4 linked regions of the Lytechinus pictus genome follow. The protein of the gene in region 4 purifies or fractionates together with the protein of the main gene of each other region. This does not show direct contact. Links are inferred from orthologs where the notes say so. Each region holds a gene or a part of one and is shown on either strand. Other genes may lie near its edges. The genes, in order: SWI/SNF-related matrix-associated actin-dependent regulator of chromatin subfamily A-like protein 1, replication factor C subunit 2-like, DNA polymerase alpha catalytic subunit-like and replication protein A 70 kDa DNA-binding subunit-like.

Region 1 (7,261 bases), on a different chromosome or scaffold from region 4:
AATCCCCCTTTTCTGACAGTTTATCAAAAATTTCGTTTCGCGATTTGCGCTTGCATTAGTATTTACAAAATATCAACTCATGAATCCTATTCATATTTACAAAAGTGCTTATATCCGGTTTTCAGGCCTCACTGTCAACAAATTTCACTCACTCACTAAATTAATCCCATGATGGTGATATAACAAGAGGAGTTCCAATTTTTCTGTGTGAATTTTTCTTAGCACAGAGGTATAGAAGCCATTAGGCTTATTACATTAATAAATATGATAATAAAATTTTCATGAATTCCTAAATAACTAAATTGTTCCTTTTTCAGAAAAATATCGACAAGTTTCATATCGCGCTCGCACTAATTAAATAGGGCTTATGAGATTATTACACTTTTATGTTGTTTTATAAGAATAAAGCTAAGAAATGACTGTTATGACATGGGCGTTTTGCCCCCCCCCTCCAATTTTTCACGACCAAGAAAAAAAAGAGAAAAGGAAAGGGATAATGGTGAAATATAGGCCTATTATTTTCCAAGTGTTATGTAAAAATCTATCACAAACTGATTTTTCTAATTAGAATGTCGAATTTTTTGCTCGCTTGCTTCACTCTCTCGCAAGTTCTTAATTTTAAGCGATACACCGTATCGAGCCCCCTCAATTTTTTTTGGCTCATTACGCCACTGGGACAACCGGCCCCTTCAAAGAAACAAACAAAAATCAACTTTGAGCGGCCGATAGGGGAAAATATGGCCGGTGAAACAAACTTTTCGCCCCCCCCCCCTATTGGCGGAAGCTGGATCCGCCCCTGTACTTTTGTTACTTTTTCTTTTCCTCAAAACTCATGTTAATGAAAATGGTACACATGTTTTTGTATTTTGTCCGTTTTTCAATGAACAGAATATTGGTTGATGCCATGAGGTTCAATAATTTCTATTCGATTCAACTGATTCGTCATTTACCTGTGGATTGCCATTTTTTAAAGGACAAGTTCACCCCAACAAAAAGCTGATTTGAATAGAAAGAGAAAATTCAAACAAGCACAACACTGAAAATTTCATCAAAATCGGATGTAAAATAAGAAAGTTATGATATTTTAAAGTTTCACTTAATTTCACAAAACAGTTATATGCACATCCTGTTCGGTATGCAAATGAGGGGACTGATGACATATCACCCACTCATTATTTCTTTTGTATTTTATTATATGAAATATGAAATAGTTTGATTTTCTCATCATTGTCATGTGAAACGAAGTTTCATTCCTCCCTGGACACGTGGATCTCCATTATTTTAACATTTTGTGGTTCAGGCAAGGAGGTCCTAATTGTCAAATTCGTAAAAATTGAAATATTGTATAATTCAAACAATAAATAACAAAAGAAATAGTGAGTGGGTGACATCATCGACTCTCTCAGTATATCACTGAGTTGAGCACAGAACTGTTTTGTGAAAAATAAGCGAAACTTTAAAATTTCATAATTTTCTTATTTTACATCCGATTTTGATGAAGTTTTCAGTGTTATTCATGTTTGATGTTTCTCTATTTATTTAAATCTACTGTTTTCTGGGGTGGACTTGACCTTTAAAGCCGCCACAGACATCTGCCCGAATTATCTGCAACGTACCCACAGATGAAAGATGTATGTATACAGAGCTGATTATACGTTCATTGTAATTTTAAGCTGAGTATATAGTATTATAATAGGCTTATAGGCTATCACGTGGAGCGTTGTGGCCCAGTGGATTAGTCTTCGGACTTTGAAACAGAGGGTCGTGGGTTCGAATCCCAGCCATGGCGTAATTTCCTTCAGCAAGAAACTGATCCACAGTGTGCTGCACTCAACCCAGGTGAGGTAAATGGGTACCGGTAGGAAGTTATTCCTTAAAAAGCTGTGTGCGCTATGAACGCCTAGCTTAGCCGATTAATATAGGAGCGCCTTGAGCACCTAACAAGGTGGATATGTGCGCAATATAAATACCCTATATTATTATTATTATATACTGTTAAAGATAATTTAAACAACGTTTACTATGTGAATCGCACAATAGTTGTTTAAACTGCATTTTTATAAGTTAAAAAAAACATGCTTAAATTATTGATTATTAAATATTTGAATTTAAACTTTGTTGTTTAAGATTTTAAACACTTGGTATAAATGTATAGTTTAGCATAACTAATTTATTGGTTGGATTGCTTAACTAAGCTAGTCGTACAGACTGTTTCACCCTAATTAGGCTCATCAGCGACTCTGAAGTTTAGCATAACTTAATTTCCAGGGGTACTATACGACATACGCAGCATCCCTTGGAAATCAAGTTGTTATGCTGCATGTAGACGTCGTTTGACCAAAAATCACTTTCATTTTGGAACAATAAATAACCTGGGTTTTTCCGGGGGGATGACCCAAAACACCTTCATTTTGCTTTTTTTCCCCAAAGCAGCACCCTCTTCAAAAATGGTTCAGACCCCGCCGCATCACAGTCATACATGGGCGAATCCAGGGACCCCAAGAACCCCCCCCCCCCCATTGGCGGCGCAAAAAAGAGAAAAAAACAAAGGGGGAAGAAAGCTAGGTGGGAAAAATAAAAAGAAGGAAAACTTGAGGAAAAAAGATGGAGGGGAAAATAAAAGGAAGAAGGCGAGTGAATTAAGTAATGTGAGTGCAGATTTTAGAATTGAAAAAAAAAATCGCTCTCGCTTCGCGCTTGCATTGCCTGTTTGATGATATAGCCTACATATATCTTGCTCAATCGACTGAAATAGTGCTTAAAATATCCAGTTTTTAAAGGACAAGTCGATCCAACCCAACAAAAAGTTGATTTGAATAAAAAGAGAAAAATCCAACAAGCAAAACACTGAAAACTTCATCAAAATCGGAGTGAAAAAAAAAGAAAAAGTTATGACATTTCAAAGTTTTGCTTAATTTCGATCACAAAACAGTTATAAGCACATCCTGGTCGGTATGCAAATGAGGAGACTGATGACGTCATCCACTCACCTATTTCTTATTTTACTACATGAAATATGAAATATTCTAATTTTCTCCTCATTGTCAAGTGAAACATAACGATTGATTCATCCATGAACATGAAATAGCATTGCTTAAACTATATGATTCAGTCAAGTTGGTCCCTATTGTCAAATCTGTAAAAAATGAAATATTGTATTCAAACAATGAAAAACAAAAGAAATAGTGAGTGACGGACATTATTATAGACCGTCTCATTTGCATGTCACTGAGTTGTGCATATCACTGTTTTGTGAAAAATAAGTGAAACTTTAAAATGTCATAGCCTTCTTATTTTACATCCGATTTTGATGAAATTTTCTGCGTTATGCTAGTTTGATTTTTCTCTATTTTTTCAAATCAACATTTTTCTGGGGTGGACTTGACCTTTAAGTCAATATACAAAACGAATTTCAGCTAGGACATCGATCGAGCTTTCATTATGATTTTGTTTGCTTTACAAATTGATTTTTTTTAAAGTGCTCTCATGTAAAATGTATCGTTTTATAATTGGTCTGAATATCACAATTTTTCAGCTCGCGCTGCGTGCTCGCATTATTTGATTTTTGAAGTAGACCTATACCAACAGGTATATATTCTCTTCGTGTATAAAGATCCCTTTCTATATATATATATTTATATATTTATATATACATTTATATAGTTTTCAGGCCTTATACACTGTATCAACAAATTTCGCGCTCTCATTAGGCCTGTTATGAGATATGATCCTTTTTTATGAATTCTTAATCCTGTTCCCTTGGCCAGATGTCCCGTTCCTTTGTCAAAGCTACGCAGCCTGTTCTTTATATAATTCGTGCTTAAATAACCCAGTTTCAAAGCAAAATATTAAAAGATTTCTCCCCCCCCCATCATTCTCGTTCCCATTATTATTGTAGAAAGATTCACATCCTTTTCAAATACTAGTAATAGACAGTCATGTTTTTAGGTCTAAATCCAAATTAGGGGGTTATTTTGCACACAGAGAAAAAACTCGTTTAGGGGGTGTTGGAAATAATTTCACGCATGTGTACGTGTACAGCAATACATTTGACTGCCCCCGGACATTTGTGCTAATTAATTGCTAGTCGATGTGTGAAGATTCACTTTTTAAAAATCAGTTTCAATTGGGGTCTGTGCCTGCAGACTATAGAATCACCAGCGCAATGCTTGTTTGAAGTATATGTAACCAAAAATTTGATTGGCTTACGGAAGAGTACACACAGAAGAAGTTAACAGTACACGGGATGTGATTGGATTACCACGCACGGTCATTTACGTCGACTGCTAGCTAAGGTTTGGCAGAATTCCAGTTTGCAGTTCAAACGGCTCTGGTCGGTCCCTGATGACAGTTTAAATGAAGCAATCAACAGATTGATATCATCTTGAAGACAAGAGACGAATTTACGGGTAAGTAGTATAGCTAAGTAAATGAGATCGTTCAATTCAGAGATAATAAATACGAACCTGCAGGCAGCTGATGCGCCGCCTGGCCCCGGATGAGTTTGTGGGCTGACAGCGAGAATGACACCCTGGAGTATACGGGTGAGCTTGGGGCGCTTCCAACGTCCACCGCGCTCCCATTGCCATTGGACACGGGTATCGGCGTTATCTGAGTCTGAGCTGAGGCGAGCTGTCCTATTTGAGGTCAGAGGAGCTAACTAAAGTTTAGGAGGTGGTGCATTGAAATTCGGTCTGTCTCAGAAACATAGATTTATTAGTTCTTAATTTTACTGTTTTTTTTTTCTAGCTTGAGAAAACTGTTGTGAATTGATTTGAATTGTGCATTAATTGGGGTTATTTGTGGTGCATTGGCTTGCCAAAATTTTGTGATTGTTTGTGGGCATGTGATGTGGCATCAGACAGTAGACTAACAAGTTTTAGAGCCTTGGCTTGAGGCGCAGCGTGGCCTTGAGGCTTGAGGACTCCGTGATGATATTTAAAAATATTTTTACATATGATATACTTTTACATGATCACGAAGCCTTGAAACCCTCGGATACCCTCCCCATCATGCCCATACTTGCCTAAGGCTAAGCGGGACATATCGACATGTAAACACGGATGGATTTCCCTAGGAAGTCCATAATTAAAGCTAGAAATCACGTAAATTTGTTGGATTTTATTTATCTTTGTATACACCTTCATACGCCTAATGCGTATGAAGGTACGAAAAAACTGTTAGTACACTCGACAAAAAAAGTTCTTGGACACTTATAAAAGTTAAAATATTCCATATAGATATGATTAAAGGCAAATTATTGTCAGTTAACATGACCAGACAATATTCCTCTTCCAGTATGACATGACATTTTCATGTGAACAGTCATGCATGGGTGGTTAAATGCTTTAAACAATACAATAGCAATGTCAGTAAAAGAAAATTGCAAGAAATGGCTAATGATCATGGCCATCCTGTAGGCATACATTCAACAATTTCAACAGGTGGTTATCATTTGAATTGAATGCTTAGGGATGCATCATAAGATGCAAAATGAGATGGATCATTTGGACACTCACTTTCAAGATGAAGCTTTCCAACCAAGAGTGTGCAAGAGCAATAGAAATGTTGCAGTCTGGGCAGTCATTTAGACAAGTGGCTCGATATTTCCAAGTTTCACCAACAACAATTTCAAATTTGAACCAGCGGTATTTGGCTACTGAAGTTAGAGACCGCCCTAGGAGTGGTCGACCTAGGGCCACCAACCCTGCAGAAGATAGGATAAGGATAATTTTCTTTTGCTTATGCCAAGATACTGAAATTTGACCCTTTTTTTTATCGACTAACTTTGACTTAAAATTCCAGTGGAATAGTGATGCATCCAAGGTGGATAACTTTCTCTTCACTTTTAGAGTGGTATTTGACTTTAAGTTTTCTTTTATCGTTTAATGGATATTCATGCCACACAAACTTTCACAACTGAAAGAATGACTGATCGTTTTCTTGCAATTTTCTTTTACTGACATTGCTATTGTTTAATGCCTGTAACCAGGCATTAAAGCTTGAGAAAACTTGAGAAAACTGTTGTGAATTGATTTGAATTGTGCATTAATTGGGGTTATTTGTGGTGCATTGGCTTGCCAAAATTTTGTGATTGTTTGTGGGCATGTGATGTGGCATCAGACAGTAGACTAACAAGTTTTAGAGCCTTGGCTTGAGGCGCAGCGTGGCCTTGAGGCTTGAGGACTCCGTGATGATATTTAAAAATATTTTTACATATGATATACTTTTACATGATCACGAAGCCTTGAAACCCTCGGATACCCTCCCCATCATGCCCATACTTGCCTAAGGCTAAGCGGGACATATCGACATGTAAACACGGATGGATTTCCCTAGGAAGTCCATAATTAAAGCTAGAAATCACGTAAATTTGTTGGATTTTATTTATCTTTGTATACACCTTCATACGCCTAATGCGTATGAAGGTACGAAAAAACTGTTAGTACACTCGACAAAAAAAGTTCTTGAACACTTATAAAAGTTAAAATATTCCATATAGATATGATTAAAGGCAAATTATTGTCAGTTAACATGACCAGACAATATTCCTCTTCCAGTATGACATGACATTTTCATGTGAACAGTCATGCATGGGTGGTTAAATGCTTTAAACAATACAATAGCAATGTCAGTAAAAGAAAATTGCAAGAAATGGCTAATGATCATGGCCATCCTGTAGGCATACATTCAACAATTTCAACAGGTGGTTATCATTTGAATTGAATGCTTAGGGATGCATCATAAGATGCAAAATGAGATGGATCATTTGGACACTCACTTTCAAGATGAAGCTTTCCAACCAAGAGTGTGCAAGAGCAATAGAAATGTTGCAGTCTGGGCAGTCATTTAGACAAGTGGCTCGATATTTCCAAGTTTCACCAACAACAATTTCAAATTTGAACCAGCGGTATTTGGCTACTGAAGTTAGAGACCGCCCTAGGAGTGGTCGACCTAGGGCCACCAACCCTGCAGAAGATAGGATAAGGATAATTTTCTTTTGCTTATGCCAAGATACTGAAATTTGACCCTTTTTTTTATCGACTAACTTTGACTTAAAATTCCAGTGGAATAGTGATGCATCCAAGGTGGATAACTTTCTCTTCACTTTTAGAGTGGTATTTGACTTTAAGTTTTCTTTTATCGTTTAATGGATATTCATGCCACACAAACTTTCACAACTGAAAGAATGACTGATCGTTTTCTTGCAATTTTCTTTTACTGACATTGCTATTGTTTAATGCCTGTAACCAGCCATGTA
Region 2 (6,890 bases), about 16 Mb from region 4:
GATTGCACACATTTTTCTATGTTTTAATTGTTATTGCAAAGCACTACTTTATCCACTTGGACATGTTTGCAGCAATTTTCATATTTTCCTTGTCTTCGGTTACTCATCATGCAACTGAGGTATGTTTATACTCTAAACACTCACATTTGTATTTCTTGCGTTATATCTGACAAATAAAATAAATAAATTAGATTTTTCACATGCAGCCTCTCATATTTTCCTTTTTAGTCTCATACAATCAGACACTGTTGATTTTGTTTACTCCATTCAAACCCTATTTTTACCTCAACAGATAACATATTAACGCATAATTTGCAAAATCATCATTATATATATGTTTTCTATAATAAATCAGTATATTGAACTAATAAAATGTCGAAATTACTTAGTTAAATCAATTTTTATGTCGGACAAGGGTCTCTTTCGTAGAAATATCAATGAAAGGTGTCTCTAAAAGGACACCGTGTTCTAAATAAGTGAAATAATGAAAATTTCGATTTTATCCAGTTATGTTTGTGAATCTTGAAAGTTTTTTCTCTTTTTACCTCATAAAGTACGCTCCATACATCAATTCTACAATCAGTAATAAATAAAACATTATTTGATCCCCTTTTATTGAAATATATGATTTTATGAAAAGTCATCAATCCGAAATAAAAGGTTCAGGTGACGATGAAGACTAAATATTTTTCCGATACTATCGATATCAAACGATGTCGCGGACTTGAAAGACAAAATTGCCTTCGTGAAACAGGGGCATGTTGCATGACGAGATGAGCGATACGTAGGAACGTCCTAGGACCATTCTTCCGAGATAGGAAGATTGGCGACAAATCAGCGCTTTCCGTTTCACGAATGCAATTATTTTGTCTTTCAAGTCCGTGACATCGTTTGATATCGATAGTATCGGAAAAATATTTAGTCTTCATCGTCACCTGAACCTTTTATTTTGGAATGACGGCTTTTCATAAAATCATATATTTCAATAAAAGGGGATCAAATAATGTTTTATTTATTACCGATTGTAGAATTGATGTATGGAGCGTACTTTATGAGGCAAAAACAGAAAAAACTTTCAAGATTCACAAACATAACTGGATAAAATCGAAATTTTCATTATTTTCTTTATTTAGAACACAGTGTCCTTTTAGAGACACCTTTCATTGATATTTAAACGAAACAGACCCTTGTCCGACATAAAAATTGATTTAACTAAGTAATTTCGACATTTTATTAGTTCAATATACTGATTTTTTATTGAATACATATATATAATGATGATTTTGCAAATTATGCGTGAATAAGTTATCTGTTGAGGTAAAAATAGGGTTTGAATGGAGTAAACAAAATCAACAGTGTCTGATTGTATGAGACTAAAATGGAAAATATGAGAGGCTGCCTGTGAAAAATCTAATTTATTTATTTTATTTGTCAGATATAACGCAAGAAATACAAATATGAGTGTTTAGGGTATAAACATACCAGTTGCATGATGAGTAACAGAAGACAAGGAAAATATGCAAACATGTCCAAGTGGATAAAGTAGTGCTTTGCAATAACAATTAAAACATAGAAAACGGTGTGCAATCCGCAATGGAAAAAATACTATTTACAGAAATAATGCTAAATATTACAATGATCATAAACGTTGGTCATCTTTAAAGTCGATCACTTAATTTATGGAAGCTTATATAAGAATATAAGGTTTAAGAATATAAAAAATATATATGTTCAACATTTCAAAGTTGAGGAGTATAGAGACTACATTATTGCTTTAACATTGCATAGGGGCCGAAAAGGGCCTACCCTACGATTTAAAATGCGCCTCTTTGTATGGACTTTCCATAATCTTTTCTTTAATGAACTAGCTTATCTTCATTTGTAATAATTGTGATGGATTCGTAAGCTATAGGCCTAATCTGTATCTTAAATTCAATGAGCTATTTTGTTACTGCAGATTTTTTGTTTTGTTTCACTGTTTCACATCTCCAGTTAGCCCAAATCCGACAATTAATTTTTATTGATTAAAATTAATCTCAGCAAAAAAAAATAATTATAATGAAAATGAAATAAAAATAAATGAATGATTTACCATGTTTAACATTTTAGTTTTGTATCGTGTTTTTTTTGCTAAACGTTATAAACACGTTTTTACCTTAGGCCTACATAATTTATTTTAAAGAAATTTGTTTTCATGTTGTTTAATTATCTATAATGAGAAAGCATGAGGGTCAGAGAGATAGTGCCACCCATTTCGATATTTCAAAAAAAAAATTAATGGAAATGGTGTGGGGATAGGACGGAGAATAAAACTTAAAAGGAAAAATATTTATAAAAATATTTGGGCCTACAACATTACCCCCGGACATAATGCCCGGAGAAGTTAAAATGACATCTGTTTTTGGTCGTCTTGCCGTGCAAACAGACGACCTAAAATTGATGACAACTAGTCCCCCATATAATAACTTGGCGCCAAAAATGTTTAAAGGTGATATGTCAGTGTGGCTTGCCATAAACGCATTTTCTCTCAATGCAGACGGTGGCGGGCGGTGTGCAAAGAAGATCATGCCTACGTAGGACATGTCTGGAGGTGTCTTTCCAAGGACCATTCTTCGTATCGCCCAAATCGGCTTTGTGAAACAGTTGAGCGATATCTCGTTCTTACGTAGAATGGTTCTACGAAAGACCCTTTCATGCAACAGGCCCCAGGCCCCTGGGCCTGGACCCAAATAATTCTAGAATTTCTACCAACAAATTTTATAGCTAATGGGACCAAGGGCGAAGGCTAAGTCACTTACCAAGGCATCTCATAGGAAGTCGATTTTCCAGCTCCCCCCGACTTTCCAGATTCTCCTGACTTGGATTTAGGATCCAAAGAAGTGCTAGATTTTACTTCATCCATTTTAATATGTACTTTAATTTATTTTTAACTAATAAAAACGTTTATGATATTAAGAGATAACAGTAGCTCCACACAAGTTTCGCGCGATTGTGAAATACAGGCTCGTACTAAAAAGTAGATTTTATTAGGTACTTTAAAATAAAATATGAAAATAAATAATAAAAATTAAACTGCAAGACGAAAATAAAATAAATTCTACAACTATAAATTATTTTAAAGGAACAAAGAATCATCATACATCTTTATAAATCAATATAAATTATTCAAAGAACAACTTCTTCTAGTAGGCAATAGACTCTATCTGCAGACAATTCATTAACCTAATGTGAAACGGGCCTGATAAATATTCAATTCCGACTCTGCAGAAGTCTGTATCCATGATTTTTCTCTTCGATTCGATCATCTAGATTGCAACCAAGATGTTACATGACTTACTGATGGCTCTGAATGGATTTCCTGGGGGTATTTTTATGGAACATGGGCACAGTGATATACAGGTAATTAGACTCCAGTCCCATTCATTCCAATTGATGTTAAGCTAATTTCGAATGAATGAATGAATGAATGAACGAACGAATGAATGAATGAAGTACATTTATTTCCAATGATAAATAAAGCATCAATACATTTTAAGAACTTGAACAAAGCAAAAGAGGTAGCAACTAAGAAAGCACAGCTTGTGAATGTGATGAGTGACAAGTGAAAGGTGCTGGTAGGTTTTACTTTTATTTTTTTAGGTGCTTTGCTTCCTGTTTTAGATAGATGATCTAGGCCTAGGCCTACGTCGAAATGAAATTGAAAATGAAAGGTTGGAACTGTCTTGTGGTAAATATTCTTGTTCTTGTTCTTCTCCTTCTTCACTTCCTCATTTTGTTTTTCTTCTCCTCCCCTCTAGTGATTCTTCCCCTTGGGCTTGGCATTGTCTTCGGTCTTCCTCCTTTTTCCTCTTCCTTTAGCTCTTCCTCCTCTTCCTCAGGTGTCCCTCTTCATCTTCCTCCTACAGCCTACTCATCCTTTTTGTCTCCCTCTTCTTCCTCGTCTTCCTGTTCTCTTACTTCTCCGCTGTCTTCTTCTTTCTTTTCTTCTCTGCTCTTAATCTTCCTCCTCTTCCTCAGGTGTCCTCTCTGTCTTCCTCTTCCTTCTCCTCATCCTCTTTGAAAAAGTCTTTGTCTTCTTCTTCCCCTGCTCCCCCCTCCTGCTTGTTCTCACTTTCCTCTTCTTCTCCTCTTCTCTTTTTTTTCTCTTCTTCCTCCTCCTGCTCCTCCCCTTCTATTCCTTCTATTTCTTATTCTTTCTCCTCTTTCTCTATCTACTTCTTCCTCTTCTTCAATTTTTCTTCTTCCATGATTCTTTGAGTTAATCAAATTAAGATTATTGTATTGCAATTTTTGATCCGATTGTAAACTCTATTTAAAATCCTGTGCAATAATATAACGTTACCCACCACCCTTTTATGTGGAAAAGAAGTGAGCAAGTAAGTGATAGTTTGCAGTACTTAGAAACATTGTATTAAGCATTATATAAATGTTGTATTTTATTATTATTCATAAAGTAAGTAATGTTTGCCTGAAATTGGTTTAATTAAGACTGAATAAACTGTGCATTGAGAGTAGTAAAAAATCATTGATTTTTTTTTATTGAAATAAGAAAATGAATAAAAATTGCTTGGTCAGTGGTTTCAATGAGATTGGATTGGACCATAGAGATGAGATACATGGTGGGGCTAATGAAATTCACAGTTTTAATTCAGCCCATCGGCAAAATTTTAACTTTGTCAAAATTCATCATTTGCACAATCCTCTTATTATTTGATGAAATAAGGGCACCAACAGAATAAAATACTTTGAAAAAAGACCTTGCAGTTCATCCTCAATTATGGCAATCTTTGGAAAACATTATTTTTTTGGAACAATAAATTAAAGAAGAAATTAGAAAAACCTTCACACCTTAAATGAAGCCAGCAGTACGTGATTTGTTCATAAACAAACGGTATAATCTAAACTAACATTGTAATCTTGACCAGGAGTGGATCCAGGATATATCAGAGGCAGAGGCCCAAGAAATTTTGGAAAGCATACTTGAATCTCAAGGCATGTATCTGTGTTTATTATCATATTTCTTTATTTTGCCTCTAGGTTGTTCCAGATCTTCCTTTTATCCATGTGAGTGAAGTCAGTGTACTCAACAGAGTTTGTCGTTTAGGGGCTATTTATAAGAATCTCCAGACCTTCATCAAAAGATACAGTGGCAGTCCTTACTTAGGGAAACATAATCAAGGTAAACTTATACAAGACAGAAGGATTTTTTTTCTATTTTGAGGTGCTGTTATGCTTTGACCTACATTGAAATTCAGTTTGTAGACTTGGCACACCCCTCTGTGAGAAAATTATACTTCCTCCCAGTTTGATCTTGTTAGCAATAGAGAACAAAATAGCAATCATTGGATTGTGCATTCAATCTCATAATAATAGTAATAATAATAATAATACTCAATATTTATAACGCGCTTTTCCCACATGGCCCAAAGCGCTCACAATTTCAGTTAACATATTTATACAAACAAAAAAGCAGAATGACATATTAAATGAAGGCAGTTGCCTAGAACAAAAGAGTTTTAAGGGACTTCTTAAAGGACTCGATTGTTGTGGATTGTCTTATTGTGAGAGGGAGTTTGTTCCATTCCATAAAAGCTCCTATTAAGTATTATTAGATACAATAGATCTTTTCAGAAATCAATCTTTCAGTTAGAAAGTTGATTTGTTTCAGGGAATTTTTATTATATTAGATAGGGAAGGGGACCCGAGATAAACAGAAATAGCTGGGCATAAATATTAATAATGAAACCTTTAGAAAATTCTTTAAATAGAAAGATTTCTTTCAACTAACAAGTTGTCCTTTTTGGCAGTGTTTAGTATTAGGTGTATTAGAAAAATAAGGTAAGTAATCTCCTACAATACATCTCATTAGCATTAAATTGGGAACTATATATGCTATTGTTCAGTCGAATCAACACTGAACATTATTGTTCTGCAACTTATATAAAATAATTACTAAAATAAATTCTCTCACAAACAGTCATGAAGTTTGGTTTCCTTTGTTTTAATAAATCATGAATATGAGCAAATAGTAAGATTGGTCACACTTAATGTGAAATGTTCTTGTCTCTTTTCAGAAATTAAGCCAGTGGATAGACTCCCTGATGGATTGTATCTCAGGACATTCTGTTCAGGTTTAGACAAGGTCCTGGAACCATACAGAAAAGCTCTATTAGACCTGGAACAGGATGTAGGTATTATTGCTTGATATCCACTTAGTCTAAGTATACCAAATAGTCTAATTCTTATGGTCTAATTTTTAGAATGGCTAAACCCACATGGTCTACTAACAATTTAATTTAATTTGCATATGATCTAATTGTCACTGTGGTTTACTACTCAATTGGTTTTAAACCATTTAGTTTTAATGATATTGAAAAGGGCTGGGAACTTTCAGGAAATTTTTGAAAATTTTCAGAATCTTCAGCTGTCTGGAATAAGAGTAATTGTCAGGAAATTTCATTTCTTCACACAACTTATGATTTGTGTTTTTGAATAATTAATTACTATTGATGTCTTCATATTTTATACTTTCCATGTTCTTTGTTAAGTAGAGTGGATTTGATAAATGACTGTAATTTGTTTTGTTATATATATATATATATATATATATATATTTTTTTTTTTCTTACAAAGATTTTAGCAGACCCTAACCTGACTGTAGGTCATATACAACACACCCTGGAGCCATTCCAGTCCCTGTTCCCAGCCCTATTATCACTAGCTCAACAAATCCAGACACAGGGCTATCATGGAGGCCAGATCCTAGACCTACTGCAGAGGCACTGTGATTGTGGTCAGCCTGTTATTCAGAAAGCATTACAGAAGTGAGTCTCAATTTTCAAAAGATTTCAAATTGGTTGTTTCATCGGGTTTAGGCAGTTTTTGTGATG
Region 3 (6,994 bases), on a different chromosome or scaffold from region 4:
GAACCATAGGCACAATGGTCACGATTATTGACCAATCGGACGTTTTCCCCTATTTTCTTAACTCTTCCTTTTTTCAAACATTTTTTCACACCTTCTTTAAGATGAGCTGGTGAGCCGCCCTGTAATGCATCTTCATTAAACCAAGTTTTTACAAGAGTATTTGAGTTGGTCAAACTACACTTTCCATCAAAACACAATATAATTTTTGTCATGTCATCTTTCTACTTCTCTGCATTTTACTTCTTGTTTTTTTAAATCTTTTTTGTCCAATTTAAAAATAAAGTTATAAGTATTAAATCAAAATTTTAAAGAATCAATGTTTTAAAGAATTAGTACTGACAAATCAATTGTTTTTTGTGGATTCTACGCATGAATATTTTGTGTAAAATTTGTTTTTTATCGTGTTCTCACCCTGGATCTGCCGCCCCTTTCTTTTTCTTTTTTTCACTGAAAATACTGGAAAGAGTTCCATATGCACCCCCCACCAAAAATAACAAAAGATTGTTGAGACTTCCGGTTCGTTCACTTCAGATTTTTCTATCATTTTTTTTACTGTTGCTTACCTTAGTTGGGACTCGAACTCACCTCGTTTGATCTGCAGTCAAGACCTTTCCCGCTATGCTAGCAAGAAGCGCTGATACCGGAAGGGGTATTTTTACGATTATCAGCCGATAGTTCGACTAGTCTTGACTCGCAGACCCTTTACTGACTAAATAAACCGATGTCTATGGACAATTACACGCACAAGATCTTGCTCGAAATTTGACGGAATAAAGCCATATTTTGGTATGTATTTTCACTTCCCCATCATATACATGTATGTTCGATATTAGGGCTAGATATATTATTCTGAACCTTCTCCATGTTTTTATTTTCAATTTTAGTGGGGGGTGCATATGGAACTCTTACCAAAATACTCGTATTCACTTTAAAAACACATTTTGTAGCTCAGTTTTAAAATTGATCTCTCTTTTCAAAGTGTCATCTGGTGTTTTATTCAAAACACTGGAGCGAAGTGAAAGAGCCCGAGCGTGATCAGAATAATGCTCTTTTTCCAGTGCCCTTCTAGCTTCTAGACTTTAACTTGCAATCAAATTTAAACCCAAAAGTCAACTGCCTTCTTTCACCTTCTTTTAGTGGTTGCTCTATTTATCCCTCGATCCTCACTATCCCCGACCCATGCTGATCTGGCCCATCCCTATAGAATTCGCTGACCTTAGGCTTTGTTCTGTCTTTCTCAGACCCGGAGGATGAGGGGAGGGTCAGGTCCATCGATCGCCTTTTGTCCTCGCTTTTGTATCATCTTAATGAGTCATGATTATCAAACCATTAAAACTTCTTTCAAACCTCTTAGCGTTTAACTCTTTTGTCCAGCAGGCGCTCGTTTTATCTTGATACACGCCTGGCACCTCTTTCCAAAACATGTACGCTTTTAAGTACCACCCTTGATCATGGATTTCTTGCTCAATTACTTTATTCAAATTCAATTTTTTGGTTTGAATCGTCCGAACAGTGCAGTGATCATGAATTGAACTTAAGCACACGTCATAAATTGCGTAATTTCATTGCCGAAATCACGTGATGAATGACCAATAATTAGTGAATGCATGTGTCGCTAGGGGGCGGAGCTTTATGCAGAGGGAAAATTGACGTCTAAATTAAGCTTTCCCAAACCTCGCTCGTTTTATAAACCAAAAAAAAAAATAGATCTAGATCTACTCGCAGAGAAACTGTTTTTCTGCACTTTCACTTGGCTTTGTCTTTGACTTGATCTAGGGCCTATCCCTTTTGCTAAATTACAGACCATTCTTGAACTTGAAACACGGTAGAGAGGGCCAAGATCCACAATATGAAGAAATCGAAATTTTCAAAACGTTCAAGTACTTTTTTGTACTTTGCCATTATTTATATCAACTTCTCACCACGCGACTTGTGTCTAGTTTCGAGAAGTCACATTTTTGATCACCCGATTAAAAGTGGTTGTCAAAACCACTTACAAATACAATTACATTTCATGTAACTAACCTATTAAAGACGTGAAGTGGTTTAAATCATTGAAAGACCACTTCAACCATTCATGTACAATACTAGACCAAAAGCTTCGGTCTCTGTTATGTTGGTTGTTCAGCTGAACTCCGTTGGCTTCACCCACCAAATACAGAGACCGAAGTTCTAGCGCGATCTGTACAGGGGACTCAATGGCCATATGTTTATGTACTTAAGATCGGATAAAACGGGGAAGTGAATTTGCGCGATAGCCGAGGTAAGTCACTATTTTTGTTCCTTTTAACTTGATTTTTCTCCGTTTTTTGGCAATTGATGCCAAGAGGGAATGTTAATTTGCATTTTGGTCGCGTGAATTTTCAAAATTTGTACTCATTAAAGACAAAAATTGAAGAGCCCCGACGGGGGGATTTTGCATTGCAAGTCCCCTAATGGTGGCTGCACGCTAGCGAGCCGTCTCACGTCTGTGTATGACAGTATGAGGAGAAATTAAAAAAAAAAAAATGTTAAAAAACTCCTCGAAACAGACGGCTGCCAGCTGTCTAGTACAATACATGTTTAACTAGTTTCCAGAAAACTAGATGAGTTACTACTAGTTAGTTTTACTAAGGACGGTAACGTTATGTTACTTGTTAGTGAGAACGGAGAGCGTCAATGACAAAAAAGGAGGCTTCAAAATTTTTAAAGTGTCCGGACACTCGACCCCCATCCTAACTTTTTTTACCATTTTCTCTGTCATCCATCACTGGTGCCATCCTCTGGATCTAGATCTAAATCAGCAGCAAATCAGCAGCCAGGTAAGGGGAGCGTGTGGGTAAATTGTGTCAGTCGTGAAGCATCGAATCTGCCCAGGCCCAAGTGAAGCCGAGGAAACACAAGCCTGTACTGTAGACCGGGCACCGTCGAAAGATCAGGCGGACGGACTGCCGTGATAAAATAGTGCCACTTCGCTCACCGTACCGGCGCTTCCGTCCCCGTACTTGGGGATCGACATGAACAATGGCGCGCCAGAAAAACAAACTCCGCGCGAAATTTGATTTAGACTGGTCCATTTTGTTAGATGGGTAAATATCATATTGCAAATCTAAAACTAATTTACACGAAATCCTTAAAATGGTTTAAATGTATCAGAAAAATTCAAGGATACATATTTTATTATTATTTTAAGGTTTTATCATAAGCTTATGTAAAATAGAATTGGGAATATAGATTTGAATAAAGTATTCTTTATCAGCTTTCCATTCATAATAAGTGAACTCGTCCACAACAATCTCTCTAAAATTTATAATTAATATATTTTAAAAGTTTTGAGTTATTATTTTGTTTCAATTCCTAAGTGTAGATAAATAAAATAAATATATTCAAATCATATATTTTTACCTTTTAGTTGATGATTTTATATGCATATTTAAAAAAAAATAAGTTTTTAAATGAATTAAAACAATTAAAATTGGCCTCAACTTAATCCACGTACCCGCACCCTCAGCTCGGATCCGGAGCAAGGACCAGGCTCGGGTAAATATTTTTTAAGTTGATAAAATACGTTTTGCTTTCTTTTTAGGTTTATTCAAGTATATTCCGGGGGTTTATGTCCCGAACCCTTCCCTAGTGCTGATTCAGGAAAAATCATTTACAATTATTCATGGAATTACTAATGCTTTTCCTCGCCGGAAATCCTGCCAGAGCCAGAAGCAGAGGTCCAGGCAGTGCAGAGGCAGAGCCGGGCCGAGGCAGCCGGCAGAGGGGTAACCCAGGGAACTCCCCCCCGCGCAGCGGGCGGGAGCCCAGGGGCTTACCGTGTATTTGACCATACTCACAGGACTAGCGTGATTTATGGTCTAAATATTTCTCCAAATGAATTGTGAAAACAGAAATTATGCACTTACCACGATTATATGGATGAAGGTCAAACGAGTACGAGTCAGTAGAGTACTAGAGACTAGAGTCTAGACTAAAAAATAGAGAGTAGAGTAGAGCCTAGATAGGCACGCTCACGCATCACAAGAGGGCGCTTTTTCGCGAGCTCCGTTCGCTGTACAAAAATTGCGACCGGCGGCGGCAGCGTGACGAAGCGAAATTGAGCTCCAGAGCCATGGCATGGCGTTCTTCAATCCACTCATACATGTATATATCGAATGCTAGAAAAATGATTTAGACACCATATGGCTGTGTGACGTATAGACTTACCATCTGACTCATCGGCACTTCCAGCGAACCAACGAACGACGATCGAGAGGCCTGGAAAATCACTTGTAAGTACCAAATTTGCCTGATTTTGTAGAAATCTTGACTTTTATGAATAATTATATTACTTGCACACTGATGCATCATGATTCATGATGAAGATGAAATTCTAAGCTTTAATTTAACACCGAAATTACGTGGGAAGAACTTAGCGGATGAAAGCGATTCAGCTTGATGCACAGGCCTGTTGCAGGCAAAATTGTCGCGATTTAGCGCCTTCGCGCTCTTGAATTTCGCGGGGGGGATTTGGCGTCTGCTTCATCTGCCCTGCACAGTCCCGCGTATCGCTTTCAGTGTGCACATTTGCACTCACTTATTACGTAGGTAATATTATTTTCTTCATTAGTTAGTCATGGACCAATTTAACATTTTATTCACTTTAAAAATTTGTTATATTACAATGAACTAGATGCATAACAAAGCACACAACCTATTATTTCCTGTTCATTATGAATCATGATGGATTTACATCTTATTCTCAGACTTTTGTTTTTACTTGTTTTCACTGTCTTCAGTTTATTTTTTATTTTTAGATCATGTATTGATATCGGAATATGGTATGATTTTTTAAATTTTTTTTCCTTTTATGAATATTTGATCTATTATAGACTTGGGGAAATCGATTATTTTACACACTCAGTGTTTCTATTTGTAAACTAATAAATTGTAAAATGCTACATTTTTTTTCAGAAATAAATTGGTGAAAGGGGGGGGGGGGGAGGTGCTCCGTTCTATATTATGATTTTTTTCCTTTAAATCTCTATGAAAATCACATGTATTTTTATTTTCAAAGCCCTTATTGACAATCTTTTTTACTATGATTTGATTTATTTTCTTTTATTATTATTTTTGTTTCCTTCAGGTTTCGTAATCTATTCCTGAAAACGCTAAATCGAGTCCATTATCAACTCATCATCCGCATGTCTGGCGACTGGCGAGAAAATTTCCAGGCCGATTGTGAACATCAGTCCAGGCCAAGGATGAAGCCATGAACGACCATATCTGGCTAATGCCACATGACAAGATCTCTATGCTGGATTACAGCTAGCATATGACTAGCTTGAGAAATTTAAATATTCAAGAAAGAAACATAAGATTCTTATCTATTATTTTTTTATTATTTAGAGTTCTGTTTTGTTTGAATTTTTCGTTCTATTTTTCATGTTTTGTTCTCGCAAAATTCTTGGAAAAAAATGATTTCTGTGTCATGTACTCCTAACAATTTCAGCACCATTATTGCACATATTTTTTTCTGCACTGCACTGGGAAAGGGGAGGGGGGGAGTAATTTTTCTTCCAGTATTTTATCATGAGGTGTCATGATTTTTATCTTAATGGCACTTACGTTCTCAGGAATTTTTCTTCATATATGAACTGTGGTCGAAAATCTGAATTATGGAATTGTAATAACTATTATTCAATTGTTTAAAGGGTTTTTTCAGCAAGGTTGCATCATTATTTTGCCTTCCAGATATTATTATTTGGCTTTAATATAAGATCATGGCCAAAATGTCAGAAGAGGTGGATCATCTGCTCCAGCTACCAGCTGATAGGATTACTAATGGAGTTGTCATTGATCTACTGCCAAAACTCACAAGAGGAGAGGGAATTACATGGTCACAATTTCATGAAATAGTTCAAAACAAATATGACTCTGAATGTTCTTTAAAGGCCCTTCAGACCAAGTTAACAAGGATCTATGGAAGGTACATGAAACTAAACAAAACAAAACAAACTAAAGACCAAAATGATGTGAAGGTCAACTATCTGCAAGAACCTTTCGAGCCCCCAGGAAAAATTGTTCAACCTCCAAAGAATGCTAAAGTAGACCAAGATCACGATGCTGCTAGTCCTAAAAAGAGAAAAGTCTATTCAAATGATCAAGTAGAAAATTTAGGAAAAGAACTTGAGAGATTCAAGGACATAGTACAAAAAACAGAGAGGGAAGTAATGACTTACAAGAAGAAAGTGAAGCACCTTGAGAAGGAACTGAAAAAGAATAAAGAAAAGGTTCAGTCTTTCACATCTATATTTGGCAGTGTAAGAGGTGGAAGAAAACGGATTACCGAAACAATAAAGCGACTTAAACAATCTAAAAGGGAATGGAGGATAAACTACCAAATGACAAAGAGTGAAGAAAAACGGAAGACAATTGAAATTACGAGACTTCGAGCACAATTGCAAGAAGAAAAGAGAAGACGTCAAAGAATTCAAAAGAAATACACAGAGCAAGAAAAAATCAAGGTCGCCCAGAAGCAACAGGAGATTGAACAACTCAAAGAAACTGTTGAAAATCTTCAAGATGAAAAAAACAAGTCCCATCATCCTCAACAAATCCAAACCAAGATTGGTCAGTCCTACACCCCTCAGATAAGAGAAGCATCCTACTATTTACAGGTTGGCTTTGAATCAAGTTGATTTATAAAAAATAAAGTGATAGGAATTAAGTCATATAATGTTCATAATAGTAATTTCAAAACTCCCCTTGTGACATTTTTAATATGTAAAACAGGTAATTGATCAGATACATGATTGTTTCCTGTGATACAGTACTGGAAACTGATCACAAAGACCCAATTTCATAGAATATTGTAATATGGTAAACTTTGCCATTCCGGGGTAACTTGTCTGGAATCTTTGATTTTGATTGGTTGGTGATTAGCATTACCATGGGATGGCAAAATTACCATTATATTAGCTTGTATGCAAAGTTGCCCTGGTCTATGATATAAAAATTACCTACTTCA
Region 4 (7,471 bases):
CAAAAGTTGGTGCAAAATTTGCCACAGATGCTGTTTTTTCTTGATATGCAACTGGTTTCTTTAAACTTGAACCATCTTTACCTGTGCATGTATGCTCTCCATCTGAGAGCATAAGACGATAACGATCCACAGCTTTACCACTGGATGCTGCATTCATCTTCTTACAAGCCTGCATGAAATCAAATACCAAATAATCTATCTGGAAATTTGTGGTTTGTGTTGCCATGACAAATTTACTTTCACACATAAGGGCTTATTCTTAATTGGAATATTAACTATTAATGCATTCCCGTGTGGGTTACAAAATAACTGAGCAAAATTTAATATCAATCATTTGTTTAAAAAAAACACCTTTACATGAGTAAAAAAAAAGTTTTACTCATGTGTCCTTAGGCTTATATATCTTTTAAAATAGCATCATACCATCATCTCGTCACTAATAATTATTCTATTCATTTGAATTCACCGCACCTCAACAATAAAAAGTTTCTGGTGAGGATATGTGCATAAACATCTGAAACACTCTAGTGAAGATGAATATAAATTAACCCACCTATCCTGTTTATATGCAGAAGATCAAAATAAGATATTTACCTCAATATTAGAGAATACGAATCAGGCGAAAGTGCATGACAATCTTTCTAAGATACAATATAATTTACAGATTTAGCAGTTGGTCTGTGTGCAATTGCCGAATTGCATGTGAACTTTATGTTTACTCCAATTGTATGTTGCAGGATTTTCATTATTTTCTCATGAACCTGTTGTAATATCACCATCTATACTTACCAGAAGCTGTAATACAGGGCAACTGACAACTTTTTCTTGGAAAATGGCCTAAAAAGAAATAGAAAAAGTAAAGAAAGATGAAAAACAATTATGGTATGGGGTCTTAGAGCTATGTAGGTCCTAAAAGCTCTGCACCACTAATTTTCAATGGCAAAATGCGCACTCTATAGATCTGTAACTGGAGTGATGAATTATTCCTATCCATATTTCCTGCCGAGGCTGCAATAAATCCCAAAATGCAAAAAAAAGCAACTGAAGTTATGTACACTTTAATTATTTTCATATGGTACAATAATATGAACATATTTTGGAAGTTGAGGCACAGGAAATCCACTAATTTTTGCATGGTAAATCAAGTGCGTAGATTTAGGACCCCTTCAAAATTGCGCGGGGATATCGAAAGAGGTGTTCGGAAAATACTTATAGGAAATTCATTAGTAACTTTTTTCATACACTGTACCATTTCTCTTGGATGATTTTTAGAATATTTACCACACATAATATACTTTAAAAATTTGTTCAAATATCTTCAAATTGTGAGTTTCTATTGTTTGCAAACAAAGTTGGTAGCTTTAAGTCCCCCATACACTAAACACATTCAGATCAAGATTCAATTTTAGTATGATTAGGAGACATGTACATAGCCCATTTTAAAACCCCTCAAAGAAGTTCCGCACCTCAAGATTGAGACATACCTTCTTTTTTGTTTATACTGAAACTGAACTATGAAAAGTAAATCACTTTCTTTATTATGATTTGCCATCTGATGTGATTATGTGATCATGGAATGTGGAGTTACACTGAATATAGGACAAAGTTAAATTTTGCAAAATACATAATTTTCTAACTGGGTCATGTGGTAAGAGCATTGGACTCATGATTGCAAGGTTGTGAGTGTGAATCCCTTTGAATAAAAATGCCAAAGAGTAATTTGTGTTGTCTATAAAGAAGGTCAGCCACTAGTGACTATTACTAGTATTATACTAATTATTTATAATCACGTATTAAATTTTAGTATTTGTGAAATAAAAATTTTTATCTATAAATTGTTCTTCAAAACGGCATCGCTAATCGGATGTACGTCATAACGAAGCGGTTCAAGGGTCAGGCTGTATTGTATTTGCTTTATTGACAAACGGATCGAGGGATCTACAGGAGATCGGTCTGGTAAGAAACGTCTCATTTTTACCATTTATAGTGAAATAATTTTTATCCCTTTATACGCATTAGGGCAGGCGCATGAAAATAAAATTCATGTAAATAAAATTCACCCCTACAAACCGATTTCACCTGTGTTTACATGTGTAAACAACAACTACATGTGTCTCTTATACATATCCATATGGCCGGCGGTTAGGTTCAAGGCTCCATGATGAAGAAGTATATGTCAAAATATTAAAAAAACATCATCATGGAGTCCTCAACTTCAGGCTATGCGCAGACATGGGACACCATTTTTTTGTTCAATCTGAAAATGACTGCCGAAGGTTTTTTCCAAGAAAATCGTACAGTCATAGGGGTCTGGATCTATTTCTTTCAAATTTTTATGAGATATTTGGCACATGCACTTACTCATAACAACATATAAGGAACATTATCAAATGAAAGACTTTGCGAAATAAAAGGAAATTCATGTTAAATCTTAACTCAAATCTTTAGCATGGTTAGGCATGTAGTTTCATAGGCGCGCAGACTTGGGGACCACCAATTAATTTAGAATGTTACTTAGTGAAGAAAAGTGTAACAAGTTAGTTATGCATGCCGAACAAAAACAAAACAGAGACTGAAGCTTTTGATTTAACGTTAGGCTCAAACTTGACTCTTGATATTGAAAAATAATCAAAGAGACGAGAGTCAATGTGTTTCAGGAACTTGAGGAAGCATAAGCCATAACAATTAACATGATTTAGCAGCCGAGTCAGTCTCAGTATCAACAACAAACACTGGGTGACTGGCAGTGAACGACACCATGGATGGGCATCGACTTACCGCAATGGCTCCTCTGGTTAGCAAATTATTCATTTTCTTTATGAATTAATGTGAGCAAAAGTGGAGAATTTGTGTTTCTTTGACGAATGCTCAAACTATCTCAGGCTTCTGCACAGGTCAACATACGCATTTATTTGTTCCTATATACCAAGTATACGTGCACGGCCGTACGGGCTAAGCGCTCGCTCGAACTCAACTTCGAATCTCTCCCGCCAAGTGGCGCGAACGTGCACAGCTGATAGAAGCTAGTGTAGATTGTATGAGGCCACGCAGTACAACAGACCATTCGATCTCAACATCCACAAGCAATTCTCACAGTCAATAAGGAAAGAAAGGATCAATTACAGATTAGAATTTATCGGCCCATCTCATTGTTAAATGTAGGCTATACAATTTTGGCGAAGGTACTATCAACAAATTCCAAGGTGTTTTTACTTAAAATAAATTGAAATATTGGCCGGGAAGCAATTATTACAGACTTATAAAATGATCTTTCACACAACAAAAAGTGACATATCGGCAAATCTATTGTCCATCGATTGACTAGTGCAGGATCCTCTTAAGATTCGGAGCTGGCGAAAATAAGGTCAAGCCAAAGAGATAGTAATTTAAATTTAGAGATTTTCAATTTAAGGGTAGAATAATTTCCTTGCAAGTCATCACATAAAAAATGATGCTCTCTATGAGAACTACGGAAAATGCACACCAGGCATTTTAAAAACTTGAGGAGAGCAATATTACAAAAAAGGACACAACATATTTCTAAGACCATGCATACGGATCTATTCTCATTCTGAACAGCAGACTCAAAGAATTTCGGTTAAATATTGATTGATTGCATTGCATTGCATTTATTCTTTTTGTTTATTTCCAAAAATTACAAATAATGCAAAATATAAAATGCAGAAAATAAAACAGGGAATCCACTGCATGGAAACAGCCTGTTTATGTCTTTTACATATATACGAACTATTTATATGTAAAATGACAACAGATTATTTTGTGTTCTTTTGCAGTAAAGAAGAATAAACCTATACCTAAATCTATATATGGAAACATGGAGGAGATGGAAAGAGTGTGGGAACAAGCTAAAAGGCCGCTCCACGTAATTGGTGTGGACTCGGATCGAGGAGATGCCCAATTGTTGAATCGCATACTAGTTAAAGGACAAGTCCACTCCAACAAAAAGTTTATTTGAATAAAAAGAGAAAAATCAAACTAGCATAACACTGAAAACTTCATCAAAATCGGATGGAAAATAAGAAAGTTATGACATTTTAAAGTTTCGCTTATTTTCACAAGACAATCCTGGCCGGTATGCAAATGAGGAGACTGATGACGTCATCCACTCACTTTTACTTTTGTATTATATTATCTGAAATATGAAATATTCTAATTTTCTCCTTGTTGTCAAGTGAAACAACGATTAATTCCTCCCTGAACATGTGGAATTAACATTGTTTAATATTATACAGTGCGTCCCAGAAAAAACGAAACCGAGATTTAGCGATGATTTATCATAACTTAATCATAAATGAAATAGACAAATGACCTACCAATTTAAAGCTTAGAATCTCCTCTTTCATCTGGTCAGCGGCGTAACAGGGGTCGGTGGCCAGGGGGGGCAAGAGCCAAAAATTTCCCGGTCATATCATGGAACAGACAATGGCATCATAAGGCAAAAATTTTGAGGGGGCGATATGGCGTATCGGGCAAATATATATATACATGTATATATAAGCGAGCGAGCGAAGCGAGCGAGCAAAAATTTTGACATCTTTATTGCAAAAATCAAATTTTGTGATAGATTTTGACATAATGTTAAAAAGATATCATATTTCACCCTCCTCTTTTCTCTTTTTTTGTACGCCACGGTGAACAGGATTTTTGTTATGATTGTGAGCATCAGGGCAAAGCTCTATGCTCGAGGGGGCCGAGTATGGCGCTTCTGGCAAGAAGTAGCTTAATATAGGTCCCGAGCGAGCGAAGCGAGCGAGATTAAAAAAAATCACCTTTTCATGAGAATCTAATGAAGATAGATTTTAACGTGATATTCAGAAAAATATAATACACTTTCCTTTCTTTCCTCATATTTTTGTTTGGTTGTAGAACTTTTGGGGGCCATGGTCCAAACTCATCCATATAACAGTGCTTTATGGGTGGGGTCCAGGGCAGAGCCCCGGAACCTCTTGATATCAAAGCCATTTTAAACCTTACAGATGGCCACTTATTTTAATCAAATTGCGTGTATATTTATATAGCTTTAACACAACACATAAATTCAATGCAGTTGTGTATCGTAATCATCCAAATATTGTGAGGGGCACACCATAGCAAATGTGGGAAAATTTGTAAAAAGTCGCCAGCGAGCGAAGCGAGCCAGAAAAAAAATGGCCTGTTAAAATGAAATTCTAATTATGTGATAGATTTTTACATCATTAAAGAAAATATCATGTCATATATTTGTTTTCATTCATCTCATTTCGCTGCCTCCTTTATTTTCTTTTATTTCCCCTTGGCTGTGGAACAACCCCCCGGTACGCCAGTGCTTCAACGTAAAGCTTAATGCAGGAAGGGTCCATATAGGGGCCCGTTATAGAACCCATTAAAGGTTACAGAGGAAGAGCCCCCACTGCACGGGGTCTTGACTCTTGGACAGAGCCTTTGGAGATTTAGCAAGTTTATGATAGACTTTCATACGAAACTATGCTATATAACCATCCATTTTCTTCCCGCTCGTTATCTCAATCCTCGGCAGCCCGGTAGTGTACGTTATATTGTCCCTTTTGTTTGCCTTTTTGTCATCTTTAATTTATTTCCGTCTTACTAATCATGCTAATGTATTTGTATATCGGGGCGAATTGTTCTTTCTCACTTGTTCTTTTTTCCTTCCTTTTCCCGTTATCTTTCCGTTTTCCCTTTTTTATGTTTTTTTAGTTTTCTTTTCCCCTTTCCTTTCCCTTTCCCCTTTTTTCTTTCCTTTCCCTTTCCCTTTCTTCCCCCTTTTTTTTCTTTTTCCCGTTTTTTTTTTATTTTCCCGGTGAGCTCCGCCAGGGGGGGCAGCTTGCCCCCCCTGCCCCCCCGCCTGTTACGCCACTGCGTCTGGTATTACTTAGATTATTCCTCATTCCCGCATGATTGAGCAAAAACAATTCGAAGAAAGGATGCCAAAAACTCATTTGGCGGGGGGTATCTGAATTTCAAAAAGAAAATCACATGACTAAAAAGTTCAATATCTTCTCTTTTCTTTGATACCTAAATCACAGAAAATGGTCAAGTAGTAACAAAGTTATGATCCCTCGAAACAATGCTTGTATTTCCATAATTTCATTAAATAAACGTGTTTTCACCGGTTTCCCACTGAAGCTATCGCACGGTAACAAAAGACTTAATGCATGGCTGATCGTCAACAAAACGGAGTGTCGAGTGAGTGTGAACTCTAGCCTGTAAAACCTCTTCATTTTATGAAATTATTGAAATTCAAGCCTTATTTCAAATAACCAGAACTTTTTTATTTCTTGACCATTTTCTGTAATTGAGGTATCAAATTAAAGAGCAGATATTGAACTTTTTAAAAATGTGGTTTTCTTTTTAAAACCCAGATACGGCCCGCCAAGTGACTTTTTGGTATCCCCATTTCAAATTGTTTTTGCTCACTCATGCGTGAATGAAAAATAATCTAAGTAACTTCAGATGAAAGATGAGATTCTAAGCTTTAAAATGGTAGGTCATTTGTCTATTGTATTTGCGATTAAGTTATGATAAATCATCGATAAATCTCGGTTTCGTTTTTTGTGGGACGCACTGTATGGTTCAGTCAAGTTGGTCCTTATTGTCAAATCTGTAAAAAATGAAATAATTGTATAATTCAAACAATAAAAAACAAAAGAAAAAGTGAGTGATGGACATCATCGACTGACTCATGTTTGCATGTCACTGAGTTGTGCATATCACTGTTCTGTGAAAAATAAGCGCAACTTTAAAATGTCATAACTTTCTTATTTTACATCCGATTTTGAGAAAATTTTCAGTGTTACGCTAGTTTGATTTTTCTCTATTTATTGAAATCAACATTTTTCTGGGGTGGACTTGACCTTTAAGTATACAGTTTGTAAAAATGAGCCAAAAAAAATCAGTGAGGGGGCCAGAAATGGCCTATCAGGCAAAATTTATGTAAAGTTGTGAGCGAGCAAAGCGAGCAAGCAAAAATGTCGCCTTATTACAAAAATCTAATTTTGTGATAGATTATGACGTAATACTCAGAAAATAATCACATTTCACCCTTCTTTCTTTAATTTCTTTCCTTTTTTTCTTGGTGTTGAATTATTTTATAATACTTTATTTTATTATTATTATTTTTTTGGTGGGGGGGGGGGCAAACTCCCCAAGGCCCCCCATCTGTCCGCCACTGTTAATAGAACACTCGATGAAGCAACAACGACCCTTATCCAGATTAAAGAGAAAATACAAGAAAAGATAGGCTAGAAGAAAGGGAATTTGCTGAACACCTTAGAAAATGTGACAAATGAGACAGAGTATAGTTAAGATATAAAGAGCTATCAGGCATATCAAAGCATGATAGAGTATGCATATTATAATAGAGGGAGGTAGGGGGAGCAGCCCTGATAAGGTCAAAGGAAGGGAATGGGGTAAGGGTTGACTTGACTTAAATAATGCAGCGTTCAGAATATTA

What was found.
Region 1: the proteins of replication protein A 70 kDa DNA-binding subunit-like (region 4) and SWI/SNF-related matrix-associated actin-dependent regulator of chromatin subfamily A-like protein 1 purify together in Homo sapiens (affinity purification with mass spectrometry; 8 studies listed by BioGRID and IntAct, with this or other methods). This does not show direct contact. The link is inferred for Lytechinus pictus from reciprocal best matches to the Homo sapiens genes RPA1 and SMARCAL1.
Region 2: the proteins of replication protein A 70 kDa DNA-binding subunit-like (region 4) and replication factor C subunit 2-like purify together in Homo sapiens (affinity purification with mass spectrometry, with the first as the bait; 3 studies listed by BioGRID). This does not show direct contact. The link is inferred for Lytechinus pictus from reciprocal best matches to the Homo sapiens genes RPA1 and RFC2.
Region 3: the proteins of replication protein A 70 kDa DNA-binding subunit-like (region 4) and DNA polymerase alpha catalytic subunit-like purify together in Homo sapiens (affinity purification with mass spectrometry; 3 studies listed by BioGRID and IntAct, with this or other methods). This does not show direct contact. The link is inferred for Lytechinus pictus from reciprocal best matches to the Homo sapiens genes RPA1 and POLA1.

The regions. Positions count from the first base shown.
Region 1 is NC_087257.1:19,978,687-19,985,947, forward strand, and holds the start of SWI/SNF-related matrix-associated actin-dependent regulator of chromatin subfamily A-like protein 1, read left to right. Parts: upstream 1-4,237; 5' UTR 4,238-4,409; intron 4,410-7,261. UniProt on the Homo sapiens protein: ATP-dependent annealing helicase that binds selectively to fork DNA relative to ssDNA or dsDNA and catalyzes the rewinding of the stably unwound DNA. Rewinds single-stranded DNA bubbles that are stably bound by replication protein A (RPA).
Region 2 is NC_087246.1:1,561,185-1,568,074, reverse strand, and holds the start of replication factor C subunit 2-like, read right to left. Parts: upstream 3,019-6,890; 5' UTR 2,903-3,018; coding exon 2,799-2,902; intron 1-2,798. Other genes in the region: gamma-tubulin complex component 4-like, read left to right, coding at 3,322-3,399, 5,038-5,179, 6,075-6,187, 6,634-6,824.
Region 3 is NC_087260.1:5,130,463-5,137,456, reverse strand, and holds the start of DNA polymerase alpha catalytic subunit-like, read right to left. Parts: upstream 3,022-6,994; 5' UTR 2,760-3,021; coding exon 2,729-2,759; intron 1-2,728. UniProt on the Homo sapiens protein: Catalytic subunit of the DNA polymerase alpha complex (also known as the alpha DNA polymerase-primase complex) which plays an essential role in the initiation of DNA synthesis.
Region 4 is NC_087246.1:17,170,305-17,177,775, reverse strand, and holds the start of replication protein A 70 kDa DNA-binding subunit-like, read right to left. Parts: upstream 3,019-7,471; 5' UTR 2,812-3,018; coding exon 2,779-2,811; intron 838-2,778; coding exon 790-837; intron 170-789; coding exon 82-169; intron 1-81. UniProt on the Homo sapiens protein: As part of the heterotrimeric replication protein A complex (RPA/RP-A), binds and stabilizes single-stranded DNA intermediates that form during DNA replication or upon DNA stress.